2 linked regions of the Oreochromis niloticus genome follow. The protein of the gene in region 1 interacts with the protein of each later gene in a pairwise test. Links are inferred from orthologs where the notes say so. Each region holds a gene or a part of one and is shown in the gene's direction. Other genes may lie near its edges. The genes, in order: rxrgb and mpped2a.

The links.
Region 2: the proteins of rxrgb (region 1) and mpped2a interact in binary tests that used the Homo sapiens proteins (3 or more experiments, as listed by UniProt). The two-hybrid records come from large-scale screens. The link is inferred for Oreochromis niloticus from reciprocal best matches to the Homo sapiens genes RXRG and MPPED2.

What each region holds. Positions count from the first base shown.
Region 1 is NC_031986.2:42,885,613-42,897,977, reverse strand, and holds the start of rxrgb (retinoic acid receptor RXR-gamma-B), read left to right. Parts: upstream 1-6,521; 5' UTR 6,522-6,598; coding exon 6,599-6,665; intron 6,666-12,365. UniProt on the Homo sapiens protein: Receptor for retinoic acid. Retinoic acid receptors bind as heterodimers to their target response elements in response to their ligands, all-trans or 9-cis retinoic acid, and regulate gene expression in various biological processes.
Region 2 is NC_031965.2:7,296,185-7,307,680, forward strand, and holds the start of mpped2a (metallophosphoesterase MPPED2a), read left to right. Parts: upstream 1-6,984; 5' UTR 6,985-7,523; intron 7,524-8,864; 5' UTR 8,865-8,974; intron 8,975-9,797; 5' UTR 9,798-9,961; coding exon 9,962-10,074; intron 10,075-11,496. UniProt on the Homo sapiens protein: Displays low metallophosphoesterase activity (in vitro). May play a role in the development of the nervous system.

The sequences.
Region 1 (12,365 bases):
CAGGAGATTAAAAAGAGTGTTTTGCATTTGGAATTGTCATAGGCTGTAGTCACAGATTTAATAGGCTTTAAGCAAAGCCAAATGAGATATTTAATTGGAGTTAATAGCCTACCAAATACAGATTAAGCCGGATAATTTGAGAGCTGGGAAGCAGGTGTTTGTTTTTGGAGTTGTGTGTAGGCTGCAAATAATGTAGCTAATTTTTTTAAATTGCAGACTATATGAGAAGAAGGTAAAGAATCTGTGTCAGGTAAGTACATACCTACAAACTCTAAAGTCAGTGGAGTAATTATTTTAAAATATAAGGATAACGTTATTTTATTGTATTTAAACTGGTTGTCATGCGCAAACATATCGCCTGTCATCAATAAAATCCAGCTTGCATTCCCTTCCTAGACGGACCAGATTTATTTTCATTGGCCTATTAAAGATTGATCTGATTACGCTGCCTATAAATAGGAAGAAGACAACGTGTAGGCTGTAAAACACCTTATTTCTTTCTTTCTGTCGCCAAAGTAAAATTTTACTGTGAAAATATTGCAACACAGTGTCGCTGCAGGAGAGATGTTTCGTCATGATCGTGTTGGAGCTTGATATCGACCACTGTTGTCATTGGGAGAAGCCCTGTTTTTGCCGCCCCCTCCCTCGCTGGGCCCCTGTGTAGAGCCGCCTTGCAGAGAGAGTTCAGTCGGGCTGGGAGAGGAATGTGCTGGGATGCGGAGCAGCACCGACTGTAGGAAATCGACGCAACAACTCGCGCAGTATGGACAGCAATGATCCATATCTACACCTCAGTGAGTACTCTTGAGTTATTTAGCCCGGGTCCGATCTTGCTGCGGTGCTCCCCGCGAAGCCGCTGCATTTTGTTGTGACTTCAGCGGCGAGCGCGTTTGTTTTATGGCGTCTTCTCTCTCCAGTCTGCAAGCGGTGCGCGAAAGTGTTCTCGGACTTTAACCACCAACTGCTGTGTGTGGATCCTGTTGTTACGCTTGCTCTTAAATAATCGCTTTAGAACAGCGCGAATTGAAACGAAAGATGCGGTCACTGCAAAAGTCAGGTGATCATGGCTGTGCCGGTCGGGCAAGGTCAGAGGTTGGCACTTTAATTGCGCTTATGTAATTTATGGTGCTTGTCGCGCGTCTCTTGCTAAACAGTTTGAGACAGAAACACAATTTATTGGTCTGGGTAGGTCGTCAGATCCAGAGAGGGGAAAAGCCTTCAACTGCGCAGAGGAATGGCGGATTTCCACTGATAAACAAACTTATAGGCTCCCTCTTTGTGGTAGAAAGGAGTGCAGCGTGCTAGACGCGCCCTGGTCACCGCCGTGGCCATATTCAACTGAATGACAGCGTGATGTGATTTTGCTCAGTAAAGCTGAAGTCTGGTCTGACTCGGTGACTTTGCCCTTGAACCAGTGGACTGGATTTGTTCTGTTATCCTTCTTGTGGCCGCTTAAAATCATCTGAGACAAGGAAATGGGACGTCTTGGAGCAACACGTGGGACACACTACTTACAGAAGTATCCTGTGCCATTTAAGTGTTTAGTTGAAACCAAACGTGGTCTAATAGGCTTGCGCGTATAGCATATAGTCTCATGAAGTCACACACACTTATCCTGTCATGTATTCTTAGCACAGTGATTGTAAAACCTAAAAAAGTGGTTTTACCTGTCTTGTGTGGGGAAAATAAAATCTAATTGCAGGCTATGTCTTTGAAGGCAAAACTGTACCGCCTGTTTATGCTATCACAGATATCTTTGCACCATTTGGAGGGGCTGAGTATTGTTTCCATAATGAATGTGGCTCCCAGGGGAATGACATGACATCTGGATAGGAGAGTGTGTTGAGAGAAACCCACAGTGTACAGAAGTAATGGAGCAGTCCCTCAGGGCTACACTCTTTCTTCTTTCTCTTTAAAGATCTGTTATGATTGGGCAATAGTGGCATCCTAAGATTTAGATATTAATAGATATTAGCCAATCGTGTTTCTGCATTAAAGTTCCAGTATGCGATTTAAACACTGTTTTTTTTTTTCCAAAAATTGCATTGGTCTTGGTTTAAACAGAGTCTGCTCTCCACAGTAATGCTGCTGCAGCATTACTCACTACCCGCAAAGGCTAAAAGTCTGTCTTAAACGCAAAATAGTCATAATTTTTGGTATGAAAAAATGAATTATGAATAAATCTTAAAGTAGTTCTCATAAACCAGGATTAGCTGAATCCTCCTCTAGTGCATTCGCTTTTGAATGTTGGTAGTAAAGCCACAGAGCTAAATGAAAGCCACAACCACTGAAAGTCATTCCAAATCTTGTTTTGTCTGTGTTGGCTCACAGCTATGATTTAGGATGCACCAAAGCACGTATGAAAACAGGGCCATAAACAGTACTCGTATTCTGACTTGAAAATGGTCACCCTTTGTAATCTGTTAGGAGCGTGAAGCTGAGGCAAAGAAGTGTGGAGTCAAAAAAAAAACCAGTCTGGTGATTATGTGCAGATTGCTTCATGATCCACCTCTTCCTCCTCTTCGGCTTTTCCCAGACTTGTTATGTTTCAGCAGGTTTGATGCAGGCCTGCTCGGAGCTTGGAGTAGAATCAGCATTTTTTTTCTCTCTCAGCACTTCAGCATTTTTTATTTTCCGTCAGTGGAAGTGATTCTAGACAAGCTGATGAGCGCTTATTTTGGTACATTTGACGGTGAGAACTTATTTGGCTCACACAACAGGGAGGTCATGACAGAAAGAAGAACTGGATTGAAACCCGGGTGGGGGATGGATGGGGGTGAGGGGGTGGTTTGAAAACTCATCACTTCCTAGGGATCAACGGTTGACCTCCCAGTGCACGCACAGACAGAAGCAGGAGGACACCCACACACATTCACACACCCATGCCTATTCTTCACAGCTGCGCAGTAGCTTGTATGAGTAACTCCTGTACAACAGACTGTGACCGTGATGGCACGTGACTTAAAGAATGCAAGTTTTACCTTTTGACTGTCAAGTCCCCGCAGTAATAAAACCTCCTCCCCTCCCACTGCTGCAGAATTAAATACACCACACAGGTAGAGAAGGTGTGGCTCTTTGCAGGTATTTGCTCAAGGATCCCATAGCTTGAGACATGCAGTACCTCTGTGTTCACGCATTCATTAGCACACAATACCTACAAAAGGTTTATTTTGAGGCACTTTTTAAGTGATCGTGTGCGTATTTGTGTTTCCGCGTAAAATAGTCAGCTTGCCTTGATTGTGTGTTTGAGTGGGTGCCAATTGTGAGAGCAGGATGAGGGAAAAGAGGGGGCGAAAAGAGGCCATTCTCTGGGCTAATTGCCAGTAATTAGTCATTAGTGAAGAAGGTCAAAGCCTTGATTTAATTCCAGCTTTAATCAAGCAGAGAACCTTCAAAGGCTCACGTGCTAAAGCAATGTTTAGTTATGAGATGTATTGAGCTATTTCTGATTTCAACAACCTATCTAATTTGAGTTTTTAATTTGTTCACTGCTTGGAAGGCATCTTAACATCTGGCTCCTTTTTCCATCTGATATTCAATAAATTGTCATTTCCTGCAACAGCATTTCTCAGTGTGTGCAAGCTTTAAGCTGCACCTGCGCACACAGAACTAAAGCTGTTAATGCATCTGCAATATTATTCCTAGAGGGAACATTACTTGATTACTTAATTGATAGAAAACTGTTTGCCAGCAGTGCTACTATTTGTTTGAGAAATGCAGAGTGGTTCACTCTTACCGCTCTGCTAAAAAGGCTGGAGTGCAGTGAATAATAGTAATAAAGATATGGAATCAAATAAGAATTAGAAAATAGTCACGCAGGAAAATATTTGAGGATTCAATAGTGAAAATGTAGTAATCCATTTGTGGATTTGTGCAGTTTTTTAAATTTAATTTAAAAATGCTAAATGTGTGTTAAAATCTTCCACTGGAAATAGGCCAAACGTTCCCTAGTTTATTACTTACATGATGTGAATTATTTCTTTGTTTTGTCTTTCTTTGTCATTTATAATTGCAGTTAAGTATTTACTGGTGTTTGCACAAAACAGGCAGTTAGAAGCCATAACCTTGAGTTCTAGGCCCATTTTTAGGCAGAGAGTTGTAAACTCTGACTCTGTAGGCAAAGGTGCTGGAAGTTTCTTAGGTTTACATTTGTAGCCCCAAGTTCTTTTCACCAATCACGTTCAGGCAACTTTGTTTGCATTTCAATAACTTTTAAACATTTTCTTCAGTTGTGTGCATACAATCACCTGTGAAATGAACAGGAAGGTTTGACCCGGATTTCCAGTATCCGCTGTTTGGATATCCTCGCCACACAGGAAGCTGTGAAAATTGGCCGTTGGCTTTGCAGGCCAAGTCAGCAGACTAGCTGATGTGTTCCCATGTTGAGAGATTAATGTATGTGGAGTCAGTTCCAAAACAAGCACATGCTTAGAAAGTTTAAGCACTGTGGAACTCATTTATACTATTACAGGAGTGTGATTAATGAGCGGAAGTTCATAACTCAATAGGTGCTAGTTTGACTGACCAGCCAAAATATTCCTCATGGTGCTTTTTTGTCCTGTGGGTGCACAAATGGCAGCAACAGGTAACAGCTAAGCACATTAGATCTCATCAAACCTCTCCATGAAGAACATGCTGGAAACCCCGCTTGGTTATTTTTAATGCTTTGAGAGTGCCATTTTAGTGTGCTGCTCCTGTCTCACTTCTACAGAGCATCAACATGTAGCAGAAGCACACACTACTGTAGCATAATTTCCCTGCTCTTTTCTGCTTTTCCACTGTATTTTCCTATAAATGTCTACCCAGCTGAATATGCCACATGATTATGTCCTCAGTGTTGTCAGAAATCGCTGCCGGCAGGGAGAGCAGGCCATAAGGAAAACCTTTCTCCTGAGATGACGGCACGCTGATTACATTATTAGAAGTTTAGATTTAAAAATGTAGCCTAAATTTAGGGCTGCCAATTATCTTCTTCCCGCGCCTTAACAAACCATAATACATCTGTGATTGCTAATTATGGCTCTCGGGGTTAATTTCACGTATTTTATGTGGGCCATGACACACTAATATAACACAGCGTGCTTTTCAGAAGGATTGCATTATTTTAATTTCTCCCTCTGGGATTTCTTAAAGAGACGCTAGCATTTCTCCTCTTCCGTCATGTTCTCCTCTTATGTGTCAGGCCGCTGAGTCACGGGAGGAGGACAAAGCCAAACGAGTGTCACTGAGAGTATATGGTTACTAGTGGTTCTCCTTTAAACACTGTATAGTCGACCCAATCACTTGCTGGGTAGTCTGCGCAAGAAAGCTCTGTTGAGTCGTGTAAGGAAAATAGATGGACGCAAGAAATGGAAGTTTCTGGTGCTATATCTCAGTTTGAATATCTGAAGAAGAACATTCGATACACTGGAAGGATAAATTAGAAGGAACACTTTAACATTTACGGGTTGGTCTATTTTGTGGCGATAATAACATGTTGCCTTGCCTCTGTCATTACTAAACAAGTAGAGCATCTACTTTTTGCATGCATATTTTTAAGTCTAAAAAATGGTTACCTGTTTTAAAAGCCTGCTATAGTAGATGCAGTCCTCCACCAAGGGTTGCTTTTGCAGATCAAATCTATCTCTGCATGGTTTATTTAGCTTCCCTCAGGATTTCTCATGTATTGTTCCTCGCTGCCTTTAAGTTATATTTTTGGCCTGTGTGTGCATCTGGATTTTCACTTTGCCCTGTGTTTTCCTGGCTATCCTAGAGCACCTAAAAAGACAATTCCTGACTTCCTGGAATGCTATCACACTTGTTAAACACACAAACATATTCACAGAGGCGACTCGACTAAACATGCTGCTAACAATACCTTTAAGCGTGAATGCTGGCACAGTTATTTCACAGTGTGATATGGTGTTAAGTTATTTTTGGTGAGACAAAATAGAACTTCAACCTCTGACCACTTCTTGTCACCCACTCAACACACGTCATTTATAAAACCTGCAAAACAGAAAGAGAATTTGTGATGGATGCTTTAAAAAAAAAAACAAGAGGAACATAGTGAAGAAATGTCACTGACATATAATGACCTTTGCACTGTATTAGTGTCTTCATGCTGTCTTCCCTTGCTCTTTAGTCCTGAACCCTTTTTAGAGGAAGTAATTGGAAACGTCTGGTTGTACTGTACTTTTAAACGACCCCTTCCACCATGACCTCCCCCAACCGCGCCCCCCTCCGGCCAGACCTCCTGGTTGTACCACTACAACAGGTGTTTCTGTATAGATAGAGGGGGAGATAAAGAGAGAGGAGAAACACGAGTTGAGTGGGCGGTAGAGGAGCTGATTTGTGCTGCAGTCGGGCAGCAAACAGTTCCTGTGGGATTGATCTCTGGGGAAGGATAATCTGGGTAATCCTATAACCGGCGCTGTTGGACTCCGCCTCTTTTGCTCTTCACGGAGGCCCCCCATCCCTCCCTCTACACGCCGACCCTTCCGTCACGTTCTTCTCTGAAAAGTGCTCGATTGAGCATCCACCAAGCCAGCACTTTGAGTGTGACACCTGGTCCTGAGCGACTCGTGTTCTTCCAGCGCTACCATTTGCGCCCGAAGACATGTGGCATCCAGTGGCATCACCTGGAAGTGGGGGCAGCCCTGGAAGGGAAATAGGTTATGGTCACTGTGAGTAGCTGGGTATTGTCTTTAGTGTGTGTGTGTGTGTGTGTGTGTGTGTGTTATTGGAAATGGAATCATTCTGATGCAACGTGTCTCGTCTGCGGGTTTCAACAGAAGTGAAGCTTGAGCACGAAAGCTAGTGGTGCACAGATGCATTTGAGTAATGCCTCTAATCCCTGTGCACTCTTTGATGAAGTTATTTTGAATTTCTTTCTTCCGGGGACAAACCAACAACTCTCATGGCAATTGCATCTGCAGATCGTTAAACCAGTTTTTTTTTTTTCTTTTTTTCCTATTATATATATTCTTCTCTCACCCATGTTGTATCTATTCCTCGGTAAAAAATAACTTAACATTTAATTATTTATTTAATCAAGCAACTGCATCTTTAAATCTACTTCCAGGATATTCGCTGCTAACAGATCAGTTCCCGCTTTTATCATCACTGGGTCATTTTAACAAGTTGTGGCAGGTACAAGGTTTTCCAGTTGGAGATCGGGATCTAGAACTAGTGACTCACTTGAATTCTCAGATGAGTTCAGCGGGGTTGTCACTCAGTCTAAAAGGATGCTTCCAGCTCTCTTTGCCTTGTCCTTCACTGTCTCTTTATCTCTCAACACTTGTCCCTTCCTATTAGCCCTCTTCATCCCGCTTTCTTTCTCCATTTGTGTCTAACTGCCCGTCACCTTTCCATCAACAGCCTCTGTGATGTGTTTGTTTCCTTTTTTTTTTCCTTTCTGTCCTTCCTGAAGAGGTGTGGAAAGCATTGGTGTGAGCTCAGTTAAACACATGCTGTAGTTGGCCTATTAAGTGGCTTCTCTGTCTAGAGAATATTTCTATCTGCAAATTGTGCATTTTAGAGCACCCTTGTGTTTTTGAGTGTCCTTGAGAAACACATTCTCCTGAAAATACTAAAGTTGTTCAGTGGATTTTCTTGGCCTGGGTGGAGGTATGGTGTGAGGACAGTAATATAGTCTAATACAGACTTTCCAACCTGGCAGTCCAAGTGTTTTATGTTCATGGTTATGCTTATGATGGGAGGTTGGCTCTTTCTGTTCTGGTCATTCATTAAAAGCACCGCAGGACATTTGACAAAGCTGTGATTAAATCCATATTATGCTGAGCTTCAGCTATGTTGATGAAATACAGTGTTGCCTATTTAATATCAGGAGCAATTCAATAAAACTTAAACAAACAACAGGACTATAGCTTAATAAATGCTGGCAGTTTTGCATGTTTTTCAACAGTCCAGTACAAATTGATTGATATGGCATTAAACTGGAGCCACCATATGGTTTCATATTGATTTTCCTTGTCTGAAAAAGCGATTAGTTTATAGGAACTTTTAAAGCAACCAAGCACTGGGTTTAAATAAATTTGATTCCATGCTAACTTTAAAGATATTTCTGTTATTTGATTTTCACATTTTAGTTGCTTTGGCAACGTGGAGTAAATCATAGCTAAGAATAATCTTTAGAAGATTAAAGGAAAATCGTGAAATGCTGCTTGTAGTTAAAGGGGTAGAGTGTAGTTATTCTGAGGGAGGGAATCCTTGTTTTTTTTTTTTTTTTTAAACTTTATTTTGTTGTGCTAAATGTGCTACCTCTTAGCATCATGCCCGAATAACCAGCAGCTTGCCTGACTTTAGCTGTTAACTTAAAGCAAAGCCGTTAACATGGCTATGGCTTAGAAGCTTAATCCTATCACTACCTCGCTTCTTGTCATTTAGCATTTTTCTTCTCATTTCCCGATTGGTCTGTTTATGTTTCTGTATATGGCCACAAGGAACACATTGTTTTTCATGTGATACGGTACCCCAAGACCAGACTGTCTGTGTTAACTCTAGCTGCTAAGCTGGTGTAAGTCCGACTGTCTTTCTAGGATCCAGAAAGCTGGTGTAAGTGTCGTCCTCTTTCTAGGATCTGTCTTCAGTTCAAGAGGTCAGGTCGGCCTGGTCGCACTCCCACAGTCACAGCATGACATGAATGGGTTTGTGTGTATTCTGTGTGTCCGTGTGTGCATGTCAACAGCACATGGCTATATCTCCATTGCCCCCTGTAACAGTGAACGACTACTTCTAGGAACTAATTTGAGTTACCTCAGCAGGCAAAGCCAAAAGGGCGGATGCTCGATTTGCATTGGGACTTTCGGCCCAGCTGTTTGTTTGTTTTCCAGGACTGCTTGGTCAGCCTGTTCTGTGTTAGCTCGTGTTGTTTAAGTTCCAAACTTTTATCACTTGCAAAACAGTCTTTATCTTGTCCCTGTCTCAGTTCTGGGCTCCTCATCGATTCTCTGTGGGCCTGTGTTTAAAAAAAAAAGAAAAAAAAAAAAAGGTCCCAGTAGCAGGTCTGTGTTTGATTTAAGAGAACTACAAACGTGGTCCGCCTGTGGGAAAACAATATATGTACTTTCCAAACAATTTGCTTTGCTTGTATGAATGCTTGTTATAGGGAAACTGAAAGAAATGGGGGGAAGAGTTCATTCCTCTTCTGTTCAGAAGTATATTTGATTTCACTGGAGGGTTTCACAGGGCAGAATTTGGGGTCAGAGAAGTTTGCTATCTGAAGCCCTTATGTTGTCACAGCCGTAAGCCTTTATGGACACAACTTTTTTTTCCCCAACGCTTTTCTTTATGTTTCCAACAAGACAGGAATGATACACAACTGTAACATCTGTTCTGCTGGTAAAATGAGCGTTATTAATTTTGGCTGACAAAGCAGTACGAAAATGGAACAGGTGTCCTTGAAGCAGCTTTGGACAGAGTGTTGCTTATGTAACAGTGGACTGTATCTTCATTTTCTATCACCAGCAACCATTTGTATCTCCTAAAATCACAGCTGTGCAGAAAATAAACAGGGGCTTTTCTCAACTCATGATCTAATGTCCTCGCACAGGCGGGGTGATTAGGAGTGTGTGGTGGTAGTGTTAGTGGAATCATGCGGGCTGGGAAGAGAAGGAGAGCAGTGCCCTCCCCCAGCCAGCCATCCAGCCATCCAGCCAGCCATCCGTTGCTACCTTCCTTCCTCCCTGGGTCTATTCGGCTCTCAGTCCCCTCCTCCCCGGGCCTCCCACCTTCTTGACAGCTGGCCTGCTGAGCTGCACATACTTACCCGGGGATAAGAGGATTTACTGACACAATTGATCAGACATCAACCTCATTTAGTCAAGAAATGAATGTTAAAAGGGTGGTGATTTTTATGCTGGTGTGTGCAGACAATTTGTGGGGGGTTTCCCCCCCCTCTTTTAGTGTGAGCGAGTATGTGCACATGCAAGGAGTGAGTGTGATGGTTTGCAGCCAGCGCGGAGATTTCTTAATTACATGTTCACTGAATCTAATGAGCTCCTCAGGCTGTCCGTCTGATTACTTTACGATGCATTCTGTTCTATGTCATTTGGTCACGGCACTGTCATCTACAGACTTGAACTCATTTTGCATAAAAACACATATAGAATAGACGGGTATTGAACAAATCCATGCACGTGCTGAGGATTCCTTTTTGTTGGGGTTCATGTGATAAATATTGAGGTTTATGTTGTCATTTAGGAGTGGGTCTGCTGCTCCCACCCCGTCATCCCCTCACTGTGCACTCCCAGTGCTGGTCTGCTTTCCAGACGGGAGATATTATTAGTTTGGTCTTATTGAATTACCACTCAGTGCAGCGCTCCATCCAGTTACAACCCAGTAATTAACTGCAAGGGATTTAGAGGGTTTGTGGTTTGTGATGTTTCTTTAAACCTGTTGATCATCAGATCAATGTGATGTATTTGTGGCTTTGGGTATTCCTTCCTTTGGCTTTCAAAGTAAATATGATCATCTGACACAGCAGAGGCAATTTGATGATGATGTTTGGATTTTTTGCATGCAAGGGAACAGAATAATGTGATCTTGTTAAGCTCGGTAAAGGTCATATTAAGAATTATTGTTAGTATTCACTGGTCTGGTTAAGTGGTTAGTCTATAAAAATGCCTTGGAGGAGAAAAGTACTAATCCCAATTTCCCAAAGACCACAGGAAAAACAGTCAATCTTGATGTGTGTGGACATGGGTTGTACAGGTAAGTTTAATATAACAGTAGCGTGATTGGTTTGTTATTGTTGATAACTGTGCAATCACTCGACATTCAAAGATCTTTCAAACACAATAAGCATATCAAAAGGGAGCTAAAATGAAAATAGGCTGATGTGCTGTAAAACTGTATGGGTTACATTTCTTGCTAAAAGAAGCTGTGATTTATACTGGGTCAATTTTTAGGAGCCTTTCATCACAAAGTCAGATCAAGCTGTATTTTAGCAGGTTACTGTGTGAGTCCTGCATCCCCGTCAGTGCAGTAATTTCTGGGAATGATCAGTAGAGACCTGCGCTGCTGCAGACAGAAAACTCTTTTGAACTTGGCTCAGGAGTTTGGTAACAAGTGACCTTTGATTTGCGACACTAGTGTTCAAAGGTGCCCTTCACTGCTCTGTTTGTTTGCTCTCAGATAGATGCTTGAGTTGCTGAAGCGTTGTATAGGTTTAAGCAAGACTGAGAGGGAAAAGTTAAACGACATATTTGTGAATGCTGCAGACTGCTAACGTACATTTCTGTGCCATGAAATGAATGGCAGGACTATGGTAGGATATAGTCTGGGCATTTAAGGGTCTTTGTTGTGGAAGTGACTTAGATTGGACTGCCGGTTGAGGCGGGTCATTCAAGGATAGGCTTCTTTGAGCCGCTCAGGGCCCATTTGTGCTTCCTCCACTGAGCATGTTGGCCTTCATACACACAGACACAAAACGCGCACACGCCCTTCCCAAAGCATGCTCACCTCTCGAGCAATTCCCTTTTAGGCATCCCACCAGCTGACTGTCCATGTGCTTTTCTTTTTCCCCTCTGTAATGCAGCCACGAACACGCTCAGATCTGGGCGAAGATTTGTTGTTAGTGTTGTGTCAAACATGTATGTTGTTTTTCAGAGTTTAAACGGACCCTGTCTCCAGAAAGGCAGGAAATTTGAACTTTCAGGTCACAAATAGAACTGCAGCGTAGAAATTCTATTCAGGTTTTTCTAGTTACAACTTCTCTATCCACCGATCTACCTGCTTTATTTTTCATTTCTCTCCATATTTTCCTCCTCATGTTATCTTTTACATCTAGTCTTGTTGGTCTTCAGAGCATGTTGCCAAACTATTGGCTGCTGGACTACCCTGTTGCCATATCTCCCACCCTGTACTAGAATAGAATGGATCTTTATGAACCCCAAAGGGAATTTGTCATGCACATAAAAGAGGGGCCATTGCACAAAATCAGACACAGAACATGTTGTACAGTGGACGTCTATTACATAAGAGTGTTGATTGGATGAAAAAGCACTCGGGAAAGTTGGGAACACTGCCACATAGAATTTCAATCTATGTAGTGCATTTTGTAACAGCCTGGACTGTGAAGTATATTTCTTTAATCCATTCAGCTCTGTGGGAGAGAGGGGAAGGCCCCAATCCATTTCTGCCTGCCAGGGATCACTCGTGGAGGGCTGGAGAAAGTGGGCGAGTAAAGAAGGGGGTGGAGGATATAGTTTCACTGCTAAACAGGAAGTTGCACAACATCTGTTCCTTTGCGTACAGAGAGGGAGTGAATGGCCAGCTGTGTCTTACTGTGCGTCTTTGTGCAGAAAGTGCTGCGTCCAGCCCGACAATATGACATTATTCCCTTTTTCACAATTTCTTCATAT
Region 2 (11,496 bases), on another chromosome or scaffold:
GGCTCCAACTGTAAGCACAGAACATGAATAAGGATTATTGTCTTTGAACTGTGAATCATACAAAGCTATACCAGCAGAGTCCAAGAAAAAAAACATGGAGCTGGAAACAGGCCTACAAGCCTACCTTTAAGACTAGAGTCTCTGGAAAAGAGAGAAAAGTGGCAGTTGTAGACAGAAGTCCTGTCTTTGGCTGTAGATTTTTTCTTTTTACTGTTAATATTTTTCACTTAAGATTGTGCTAATGTCAAACTCTGCAGTGGCTTTAGAAAAATATAATATACAGCCAACTGATTTTGACCAAGAAAACATCAAAGTAGACTGTAAGATATGCAGGGAAGACAAACTGTTTGACTTAAAGCCCACTTGGGTGCCATGTGTGCGGAGTGATGAAATTTGTATTCCCTGGTTGTGAGTGGTTTCTGGAGGGTGCTGGCCGTTGTTAATGTAGGTGAAAGAGGGAGCTGTGCTGAAAACCTCCCTGTTTTTTGCCACAGTTGCTGCACTTTGCATGGAAGACGCCAACTGGTCTGCAAACACTCACTATCTACTCATGAGCGGTAGTAAAACTTGAGGAAGTATGATGCACACCCAAAGCATCACATTCAAAGTAAAACTTATACCTAATTGCAGCTAGCATGTGTCAAAATGTGCAGCTTATACAGTCTGTTTCTGTTTGATGTTGCACTTCTCACAGATTCACGGCCTCTTGGAGAGTAGTTGGCAGCTATTTGCAGACAAGTGGACATCTCCCATAAAAACTATGGGCAGCCGTGGCTTGTGGTTTGCATGGAAGATGTCGAAGGAGGTTTTCACAGCAAAATGCAGAAAGGTACTCTCAGATATTAGAATTGTCCAAAAATTTTTCTTGCCTCCTAGCTGCACACCAACAGTCAACAAGAAGAACCATTTCAACTCAACAACATGTACCTCTTTGCCAACAATTTTAACCCAAACCTGGTATGGCAATAGAAGAAGCTGAAACTAGAAGCAAAGAAAAGAAATGTGAGCGTCTGGGTTTTTTTCTCCAGAAAGTTTCATTTTTTTAAGTTGATGCATCATTGAAATGAAGGCAGGTGGAACACTGGAGTCTGCAACTCAGCTGTGCCCTCTGCATCAAGAGGTTAGCAAAGCTGAGAGGTGCAAAGCCAGCTGAAACAAAGCATGGTATGCTTCCGGGGATAATTTTAACATTGTTTAAATGTGCATATTTCCTTTAATCTTATGTTCACAGACTGGTATCATCCTCCTCTCTCTGCTTCTCTCTCTCCCTCTCTCTGCTGTTTTTGAGTTCATTGGCTTTCATCTGCAGCCTCTGCCCTCTTTCTGTCGCTCTGTTTTCTGGGTGAGTCTCTGTGTTTGGAAGTTCAGCCCTCTCTGTCTGACCAGCTGACCTGCTGACATGCTTTTATCCCGTTGTTATTTGCTCCTTTCCCTCTCACTCGCCTGATCCTTAGAAGCAAGTGTAATGGCGAACCTTTGCACCCACAAATACACACAAGCACACAGAGAAGTGCTGTGTTTTCAACCCTTTTACATACAGCAGACAGAACACCGAAAACAGCATTTCAATATTAGCATTTTATTGTACAACAAGAGCAACAACAAGCTAAAAGTCTAACCCCTTCCTGCCATTTATCCGCCCAACAAGAGGCTTAAAGTGAATTTCAAAAGAAGGAAGGATAAGTGGCTCTCATGCCAAATGACTGCTGAAAGACATAATAAATATTACTGGAATTTTTTTTAAATCAGTTTGTTCAGGCCATTGAATATGTAATGCACTGTGTAGTTTCCACAATACTAAGTGCGCCACATGCTTATACCACACACTGGAATACATCATGTGGACTACACATGCAGGCTTTGACTCATAAAACTGTGCATGGAGTTCTTGGAAAATGCAGTCAGAGGACGGAAAGAAAGTTATCACCGTGATAGAATAAATAGTGGATTAATTGTGAATGTGCCTGCTCAGGTCATCACCTGAGGAGAACAGGAGCCACTTCAGCAGAGCAGCTGAGGACTGAGTGCAACCCAGTGTTGTCCTCCTCTGAACTTCATCCAGTCAATTAACGTAATTTAATACACCCTCACTCCACGTGGATCACAGCGTGCCTCAGAGTTCTCCTAATTTATACGGTATTGACCGTTTTCACACACGTGGGGAGAGATGGAGAGATGGAGAGATGGAGCGGAGGCACACTGATTGTGTTGAATGGTTGCGAGTAAAGCTGGATCTCAGGGGTGGTGGGGTGGGAAATGAAGTGATTGTTTTATTTTTACAGTTTACCACTGCTAAAGTTGAAAGAGGCTTGGGAAGAAAGAGACGGAGAGGAGGCAAAAAGAGAGAGACTGACTCACAAAGTCCTCTCGAGTGAGCCTTCGTCTAGCCTTTGGCACAGAAAGTGAGCCTGCATATTACTCAGTCTATCACAACACAGCAGGAGAATGGGAGGGGAATTAATACACTTGGCTTTCGTGCCAGTATGCTCTCTCTTTGCCTTTCTTCTGTCCTACACTTCTGTTCTTCGCTTTCTGTTCAAGCTCCACTGGACAAAAGCACTTTATGTGCTAATAAAATTAGCTGGTATGTAGATTTCAGTTCCTCTCCCCCACTTTTTTTTATCAGTCCTATAACACCAGGCTGAGGAAAAGTGAGAAAAAGAAAACTCCTTGAATCTTGAGATAGTATTCATTTTTGTGTGTTCATTTCTAAACACAAGGCTGGTGCCAGAAGAGTGCTGCTGCTGCTGTGGCTCAGGGGCAAACATTTTTTTTGTCTGTGTGCATTTCAATGACATAAACAGTATCTAGCCTGCCATACCCTCAGCAACCATCTATCTGCCTCCCATAAATCTGAATGACATTAACATTTGAAAAACCCCAACTCCTGCCTATGTGCGGATGGGCCTCTCAGACAGACAGGCCTTTCGTTTTATTTAGGCGGGCAGTGAAGACAGACAGTGCCACAGACGGGCATAAATCTGTGCAGGTTAGAGCCGGTGAACCGCCGCAGCCGGCAGGTTAAGTGAATATCACCCTGTGCCTCCCGCAAGAAGCTCACTCTCCTATTTCCCTCTCCCATTAAATATATGTTCCTTTTTTTTTTTTTTTGCCTTATTTGGATGGAAAGTCATTTTACCCTCTTTTATAGAAGGTCATAAAATATATAGTGTGGGGGTTTTTTAGCACTCTGCATAACATTTACATTTTCTATTGTATAAATGTGATCGGCGCGGCACGGGGCTGAATAAAACATTCACAGCAAAAGCCATTTCTTTCTCTGACATTTGGTCCCGTATCTATCATCAGTTTTCTATATGCAGTCAGGAGAACAAACGCTGGTCAAATGTTTAAATGTGGCCTCTCCACATAAAATTTAAACCCTGCTTTCACATTAACACCCCCCGGCTAGTAGATGGAAATGCTTTTTTTTCTCTTTTTTTGCGCAGATAAGAGAAAAGTCAAATGGAAATGACTTGCAGGGCTGTTGTGGCAGTGGGGGGACGCGCTGATGGTCCTGGGAAATTGAAGCATGTCAGTAAAATTAGAAAAAAGCCAGCCCTGCCTCAACTGGCAGACATGTAAATGTGGTGGAGCCTCTCAGATGGGCCCATTATGGATAGTCCCACACAGCCTTTTCTCATCAAAAATCCCATCAGTATATTAAAAGGTATAGCCTTGGCACTGACAAATTAATGCTTTATTATCATTATTATTATTATTATTTTAATTCTTGAATGCTTTAAATTGCTGTTGAACTCAGTGATGGACAGCAATTGCAAAATAATAATTTCCCTTCATTTTGCTTTGCTCTACCTTACGTATAATGATTTTCACCTCAAGATCCTCTGTGGTCACTGAGGTGAGTTGGGGACTGATTCAAAGCTTCAGAGAAGGCTGCAAACATGGAGGTCAACCATAATATTTCAAAGAAAGGCTTTATGGGATCAAAGAATAAGCTAAAATAATCAGTGAAGGAAAGAGGTGGCAGCATTTAAATTATCATCAATTATTTAAAGTTTGTCTGTAGGCAGTTTAACTCATGACCCACAACACAGACTCTAGTCTAATAAAGACCAAAGAAAAAATATATAGTGATTTATTGTTTCATCTTTTTAATGTTGCCTAAAGCTGAGACTTTTAATAGCCTTCAATTTGCTATGAAAATGTTCACTTTATCCTGAATACTCTCTTCTGCAGTTTTCTTACAGGCTGTGCAGGTAACTTTTCTGAGTAGATTGCATAGTTTGCTGCAAGAGGTTTCCCTTCACAGACACATGATAACTCTGCACTAACGGTAGTTTAATGAGTATAGCTGAATGACTATGAGTAACACCGAAGGTCTACAATAACAGCGAATTAAGTCAAGGTGAACGGCCAGAAAACGAGACGTGAACAGAACGTGAACGTCGCGTGGCAGCAGCACCCTTACAAACAACAACTTTAACAATATAATTCAAGACTCTGGGTTTTCTTTTTCATTCTGTGCATATGTGGTGCACATGTGGTGCCAAGCTGTGAATATCCTGTAGATGTGATGCATCATTAACTATGATGGAACTAGTTGGGCGCCTCCATTTTTCAGAAGTGGACAATAACTTACAGCTGGCATGTTTACATTATTTGAAATGAGATTGATTGCAAGACAGAAAATGATTAATGCAGTTATCAGTTCACACTGAGTTACCAGTCAAAGCTACAGTCAAACTCAACAGCACAAACCCTTCGTTCGTAAAGCTCTGTGCTGCTGCGCCCTGGAGACTGGGCCTCACCTGGAGAAGAAACTTGTACTAAGGATTGCAAATGAACAATGAACACTTAGCAAACAGTGTAAAAACACAGCATGCCATTCATTGTGCTTGAAAAATAAAAATAGACCTGTACCATAAGATTTTAGAATTGTAAAAAATCTGTTCTTGCCTTATCTACTGTATTTCCATTTATCTTTGCATGTTTGTGGAAATTGCTGCATCTATTTCCCATTCGCCTGGCAAAAATATAAAAAATGAGAGGTGGCTGAAGACTTTTGCACAGTATTATATGTTAGTTATATGATACAAGAGTATGGTTTGAATAATTGTGTTAATTCCCATTGAGCCAAACCTGATTTTTTTTTTAAGATGGCAGGTACCCTACTTTGCTCAGGTGATGACAATAGAGCCTGTACCATGCACTGAAAAAGAGTATAATTCAAAGCTGGCACCCAGAAGTTGAGATTAGATTATTTCTCTACACAAATGCGGTATCTGATGCTTTCTACTTTGAATACTGAAAGTGTGACATTGGTTTCATGTGGAAATACATTTTAAACAAACAGATCATAGTAAAGGCTGCACACCGTGAGAGAGAAACACAAAAAATTCAAGATCAACCAAAACATTATGTGTTTGAAGAAAATCAAGACGAGCCTTTTTCCTACACTTCACTTATACTTCAGAGAAGTGATAGTCGGTGAGTTAAACGCTGGTGATCAGGAAGCTGCTTTTACAACCAGTCAGCCAAGTTTCAGGATTTTCCCAGTTGGAAACTGTGCTGCCCCATTTCAGGTTGTGTGATGGACTCCCACAGGTACTCATTAGTATTGTTTACTTGTGTACCCAAAGGGGCCATGCTGTCTTCTAATCATAGATTTTACAACACCTTCTACACTCTGGCACCATTTCCCACACATCTGTGATCTTATGAAAAAAAATATTCCAGGTCAACATTTCCACTCATCTATGTTTCAGTGTGAGAATGTGCATGTTAGCTGATGCTCAAATACATGGAAAGAGTGAGGCATACAGGTATCCAAGTTTACCCATAAAAGATAAAAGTGCATTCCTATCAGTACTTTCCTGTCTGTCACTGCCAAGACGATCAGTTAGCTTCAGTATATATGCTTGTTACAAACAAGTTCAAGGTACAGCTACCAATGTATTGATTACTGCATATTTCAAGGAATAAAATCAACAACCTTCTTGTTAGACCATGGCGTAAAGCCTGACATCCTAAAGCAAACCTGCCAGTCCATAGCTTTCTTCATGACCAACTGAAGACACAGAGGGAGAACAGTAAATTTAGGAACCTGGATTGATGCTTCTTAGTATTTCAAGGTTTAGGTTTTCATGTTATGAAATATTCCTGAGATGAGCATTTGTCATGTTGTTACTCTGTAACTAAAGGCTGTTGGGAATTTGCCAAGTCTATTGTTAATGTTCTCAAAAGACACTGAATGGACTATTATAGATATTTGGATTTGTCCTCTAGATAAAAAGGACAAGGCATGATAATAGCGGAAGCTATATGTTAAAACAAATACTTTGATGTATCTTAATAAGCATGCATTCTATGACTTATCAATCATTAATTAAGCCATTAGGTATGACTTACAGACTCTATGTAATGTTCTTTAAGAAACAAAAAAAAGTTCTGTTTAATAATTTAGAATTTAGCTTTTTTCCAGGCAACAATCTTCTGTGCCACAAAAATGCATTAATTTAGATTTTAAATATTAATACTATCAGTCAATACTTGGAAACCTATATTTATTAAAAGCTAACTCACTTGACATCTCTTTATAAATAACGTATTTGCTACTACTTGTAATCCCCTTTAGTAAAAGATCACATCATTAGTAAGTTGTAGTACTAATTTATTGCATTTATACCACACGTACTCGTTTTCTTCCCCACAGACATGTATTTCCAGCATCTTAGTGTCGCCACATAAATGACTAATCCATCTCCAATAAATCAACTGAGCATTATAACATATCACATGTTTGCAGTCTAGGCTCTATATACTTACATATTTTGTAAATTAGCTGGCAGTTTAGAAACATGGGCTTAAAATAATAATGTATGTAAATATGCATTTTGGTTTAATAAAGTATTATATATTCCAAAGCAACGTTGTTGTTACCACACACAAAAAATACTCATCCTGGCTAATCATCGTTACTCATTTCATTCATTTGACAAGACTTGCCATTTCCGAAAGTAAGTGAATGCAGCATAGAGCAGGACTGCGGGAGCACCCTCCTCCTTCCCCGCCCTCCCCTCCACTTCTCCTGCCTCTTGCGTGTGCCCGCCGGTAAGGGCACGCGCACGGGAGGTGGCGGGGGGTTGTGCTTGCTCCTGCTCTCTGACCCCAGTGGCAGCTTCGACTCACTGCACTCCGGCTCCCCCTCCGTCAGACCGAAGCTGTTCTCGCGCTCTCTCTCTCTCTCCCCTTCTTGTCTGTCAGTGTCTCTCGTCCTTCTCTCCGGCTTTTACCCCCTCCGCTCTCTTCTTGTCTGGTTTCTTTCCACAGGAGCCAGCAGAGGTCCCGCCGGGTCGAAGGTTCTGCCCTATCCGCCTAGCCTGCCGCAACCCCCGGACGGTCGCGTACGAACCTGCCCGCTCTACTGCTGCTGCTGCCGCATGGACCCGCGTCCCTCCGCCGCCGCCTCCTCTGCCGCCGCTGCGTAGAGGGCGACCCCGACCCGACACTCTTTTCTCCGGCCACAAAAAACACGCACAAAAAACCCCCACACGACGAAGGTAGAACAACCTTTCCGCTTTTCTTTGAGAACCGAAAAGGGAAGGGAATTAGGGGGGAAAGAGAGGAGACTGGGAGGGAAAAAAGAAACACAAAGCTGTCGGTTATAAGGTGGCTTGTCATTTACGAGGAAGAGCCAGAGGTTAGCGCGACGGTGTTGTGACACTGACCACCTTTGGGTGCTTTTAGTATCTCAGAAGCAGAGTTCAGGATTGCATGGACCTTTCTTTTTGTGTACGTTCCTGCAAGCGGCGGTGTTAATAGCGAGCGGCGCATAGCACACATCGTTGTGTGTGCGTCTTATCAGAAAGGGTCAATTTATTCGCCTTCAACCCCTCCTCTGCTTACCGGAGTGATTTCTATTCGTGAAGTTAGCTATATGCTGGCGTACGAGCGCGCTACATATCCGAGGACTGCACCGGCCATGTGTGCGTGCACCGGCCATGTGTGCGCGCACCGCCGTTACAGAAAAGCAGCTCAACGCGAAGCTACAGTGTGCATAATAATAATAAAAAAATCTATTGCCAGGGCAGGTTTAGCAGGCTAAGCTAGAGTGCTAGTTGCTACTACTGTAGCCATAAGGTAGAGACAGACAGACAGGCGAGCTTTGGCAGCCCGACACACACACAGAAACACACACAAAATCAGAAGACTGTGGAGCATGCTGCACACAGATTTTCGGCCTACATTTGCCCAGAAAAAGCAAATTTTCCGAGTAACTGCAGCGGTAGCACTAGATTCAGATTTTGCACTGATTGCAGAGGAGGTGAAGTGCAGGACATCCGACAGGGCAGTTTTGTACTGAAGTGAATTTTCTTTTTTTCTTTTAATTTAAGGCCCAGGAAGATCAATACACTTGTTTCATGTGTAACAAGGATTTTAATGGGACTCTCTTTTTTTCCACACTTTGAAATGTAAAGAGTTGAGTGTGCAGTGGAACTGCTTAGACTTTGCTCATGCATTTTTAATTTTTATTTATTTATTTTATTTTTAAAGTCTAGTTTAACCACCTTTTTCTCGGCTGGCATATATCTTTTTGACTTAAATTTATAGCGTGCATAATAGGAAGCAGGGTGCAGCCGACCCAGAAAACATAAATCAATGCTTTAGTGAAAATAGGACATTTTCTTTAAAAAAAAAAAAAAAGTTTAAATTGGGGTCTTGTTTATCCAGCAGCTGCTTTTTTTGTTTTTATCTCACTTCTCCATCCAAGGATTTAACCATCATGTGAACTCTGGAGCTTTGTTGATTTCCCTCCAAAAGATATGACAGACTTGTTAAATTGAGGGCATTTTTTTCTCCCTCTTTCTTTTCTTTTCTTCTCTTGCTCATGGCTGGATCAGGAGGTCTGGTATAAAACGGCTGTCAAAGCCCACAGTGGCCACTTTACTATCAGTTAGGGAGGTCAGACAGGAGGGAGGCTCAGGGTGCAAGGAGACTCACAGCGGATCCGGTGAGTGAGCTCCAGGGATGCATTATAGCAGCATTTTCTTTTTTAAGTCTTTGTTGTACAGTGGAGCAGAGATGCCATAGCATCTCATTAATTGCTAGTAGATCCTTTCTAAATTGAAGCATGGATATGTTTTTGTGCTTGGCTTACAGTCAGTGGGGAAGGAGACCTCTTTGATGCATGCATTGTGAAGAATTTCTCATTTTATAGAAGCAATTGCAGCAATTCCTCACCAGCAGAGATTCTGCCTGCAGCCTTTCTTTTTGTTTTTTTGTTTTTTAAATATGCTTGTAGTAATTGAAATTTTTTATTTAAATTTAATTTTTTACATTTAAATATGTTTTCATTGAAGCTAATAAAGTGCTTTCCAGAGTGGAAATTGTTGCTTAAAAAGTCAGAGAAGAGTTTTTTGTAAACTTTACTCTTAAGAAATTCCCTTGCTGCTTTTAAAGGTAGAGTACATCTGCTAATTGTGTTTAAATTGCCTCATTGTATTTTTCTATTGAGGCTTTTATGAGGATGTGTTTGATGAGATGTTTGATGATTTTTTTTTTTCTAGCAAATTTCAGGTGGTTTCTGTTCTCTGAAGCTGAATAAGACTGTACATGCCGTCACTGCATGCATGCATGCTTTGTCTTTAGTCTTTGCATTTGGGTAGAGCTTCACTTTAAAATGTATAAGTCTAACCTGCAATATTTATTTATTTTCTTATGCGAAGCCCTTGCTCGTGAGTGTATTCAGAAGAAAGTGCACGCCTTTTTAAAGCAGCTGGTGTGTGTGTGTGTGTGTGTGTGTGTGTGTGTGTCTGTCTCTCCTGTCGGTGCAGTGTGTCGTGGTCGAGTCAGTCGGCCGGGTTGCTGCTCCTGCTGCTCCTGCTGCTGCAGGGAGGCTTCCTGGGCTTCTGGAGAGCGGCTCTGAAGGATGACTGCCGCACGGCTCGCTGCTGAATCTCGGTGAACGAACAGCGTCTCATGTCCAAACTGTGGAAGGATGGCTCATGGCAAAGTGACCATCACTGTGGACGAGTACAGCTCCAACCCCACACAGGCCTTCACGCACTACAACATCAACCAGAGCCGCTTCCAGCCCCCACACGTCCACATGTAAGTTCACGGACACACACATACACAGTTGTTATGAGCTGGCAAAGTTAAATTAGAAAGAAATATTTTCTCTCTCTCCAAATGAATTTTATTTGTGATCTTTATTCCAAACTGAGCTGGTCACAAGGAACATTTAAATGACACATTGCAGCAGTGTCATTTATAAACCTGCACTTTCGGTGACATTTTAAACTAATTTCAGAATCATGCATACGCTTTAAGAACAATACAGGAAGCCAGCAGGTTTAATGCAGTCTCTGTTTACACTCCTGATATCACTGGCCCTTGCTCACTGAGTGTACGGTGGTGCGTGATTTAACGCAGTACAAACCATTCTTTTTGAATAAAAGTTTTAGTGGCGGTGAAGCCCTGAACAAAAGTGCAGCATCTGAAGACTAACACTAATTCTGTGCATCACACATACTTGTGCTGGTTTTTCTAACTTGTCGTGTTGTTTTATTTATTTATTTTTTTAATCTTTCTTGCGTGTGCTGTTGGTGCGTACTGTTCACCGGCGTGTGCTGCGGTCTCGCTGTGAGATGGTTATCATTTGTGCCATGTTGTCATTGCGGTATGTGGACGCTTTGTCTGCATTAAGGCGCTCTCCTTAGTTATTTATCAGACCAGTTACTTAGTGTTGCTCTTGTCTGATGTGGTTATGCTGTTCCTCTCATTAGTGGGTCAGAGCACTGTGACCCATCAACCCTCGACACACACCCTCACACACAAACACACTTTACAACACTGTGTTTTAGCTGTGACCAGATATTAACAGAGCTGCAGCTCACTTTGTGTCTTCTTCCAATTAGAGCAGTTGTGAGCTTTTTCCAAAAGGCTGGTGACTGCTGGTTTTGTGTACACTGCGTGCTCGTGACATTTATTCTCTGTGTATGTTGTGAAGTTAACCTGCAGCAGGGCCAGGAAGAGATTGAAGAGCCTGTTAGTAGTTTCCATCATCACTGTAATGGAGTTGTTTGTCATTTCTTTCTTTTTTCCCTTTTCTTTTTCATTTTTTTGCCTTTATGTGTGCATTTATTTATGGGGAAAAGCACAGCCCATCATTTTTTTTTCTTTTTTTTTTACATCATGAACGGAACACACAGGGATAAATGCAATTTATGGCTGCAATAAACATTGTAAAGCAATGCCGATGGTGACGCTGCTTTGAATTTTTGAAAGTCAAAACACCAAAATGCACAATATGTGAGAAAATCCAGCCCACGCCAAAACACAGAGCGCTAACCAAAGCATTCTAATCTTTGTTGTAGACAGCTTTCACAGTGAGGTCTGTACAAATGTGCCGTTCCCAAGTCCTCACATATAATTACATTGTTGGGGGTAAAATCACAGCAAAGCTCAAGGCTTTTTTTTTCCCCTCACAATTTTCCTTGTTAGCGCAGAAAATGGTAATCATAAAATTGT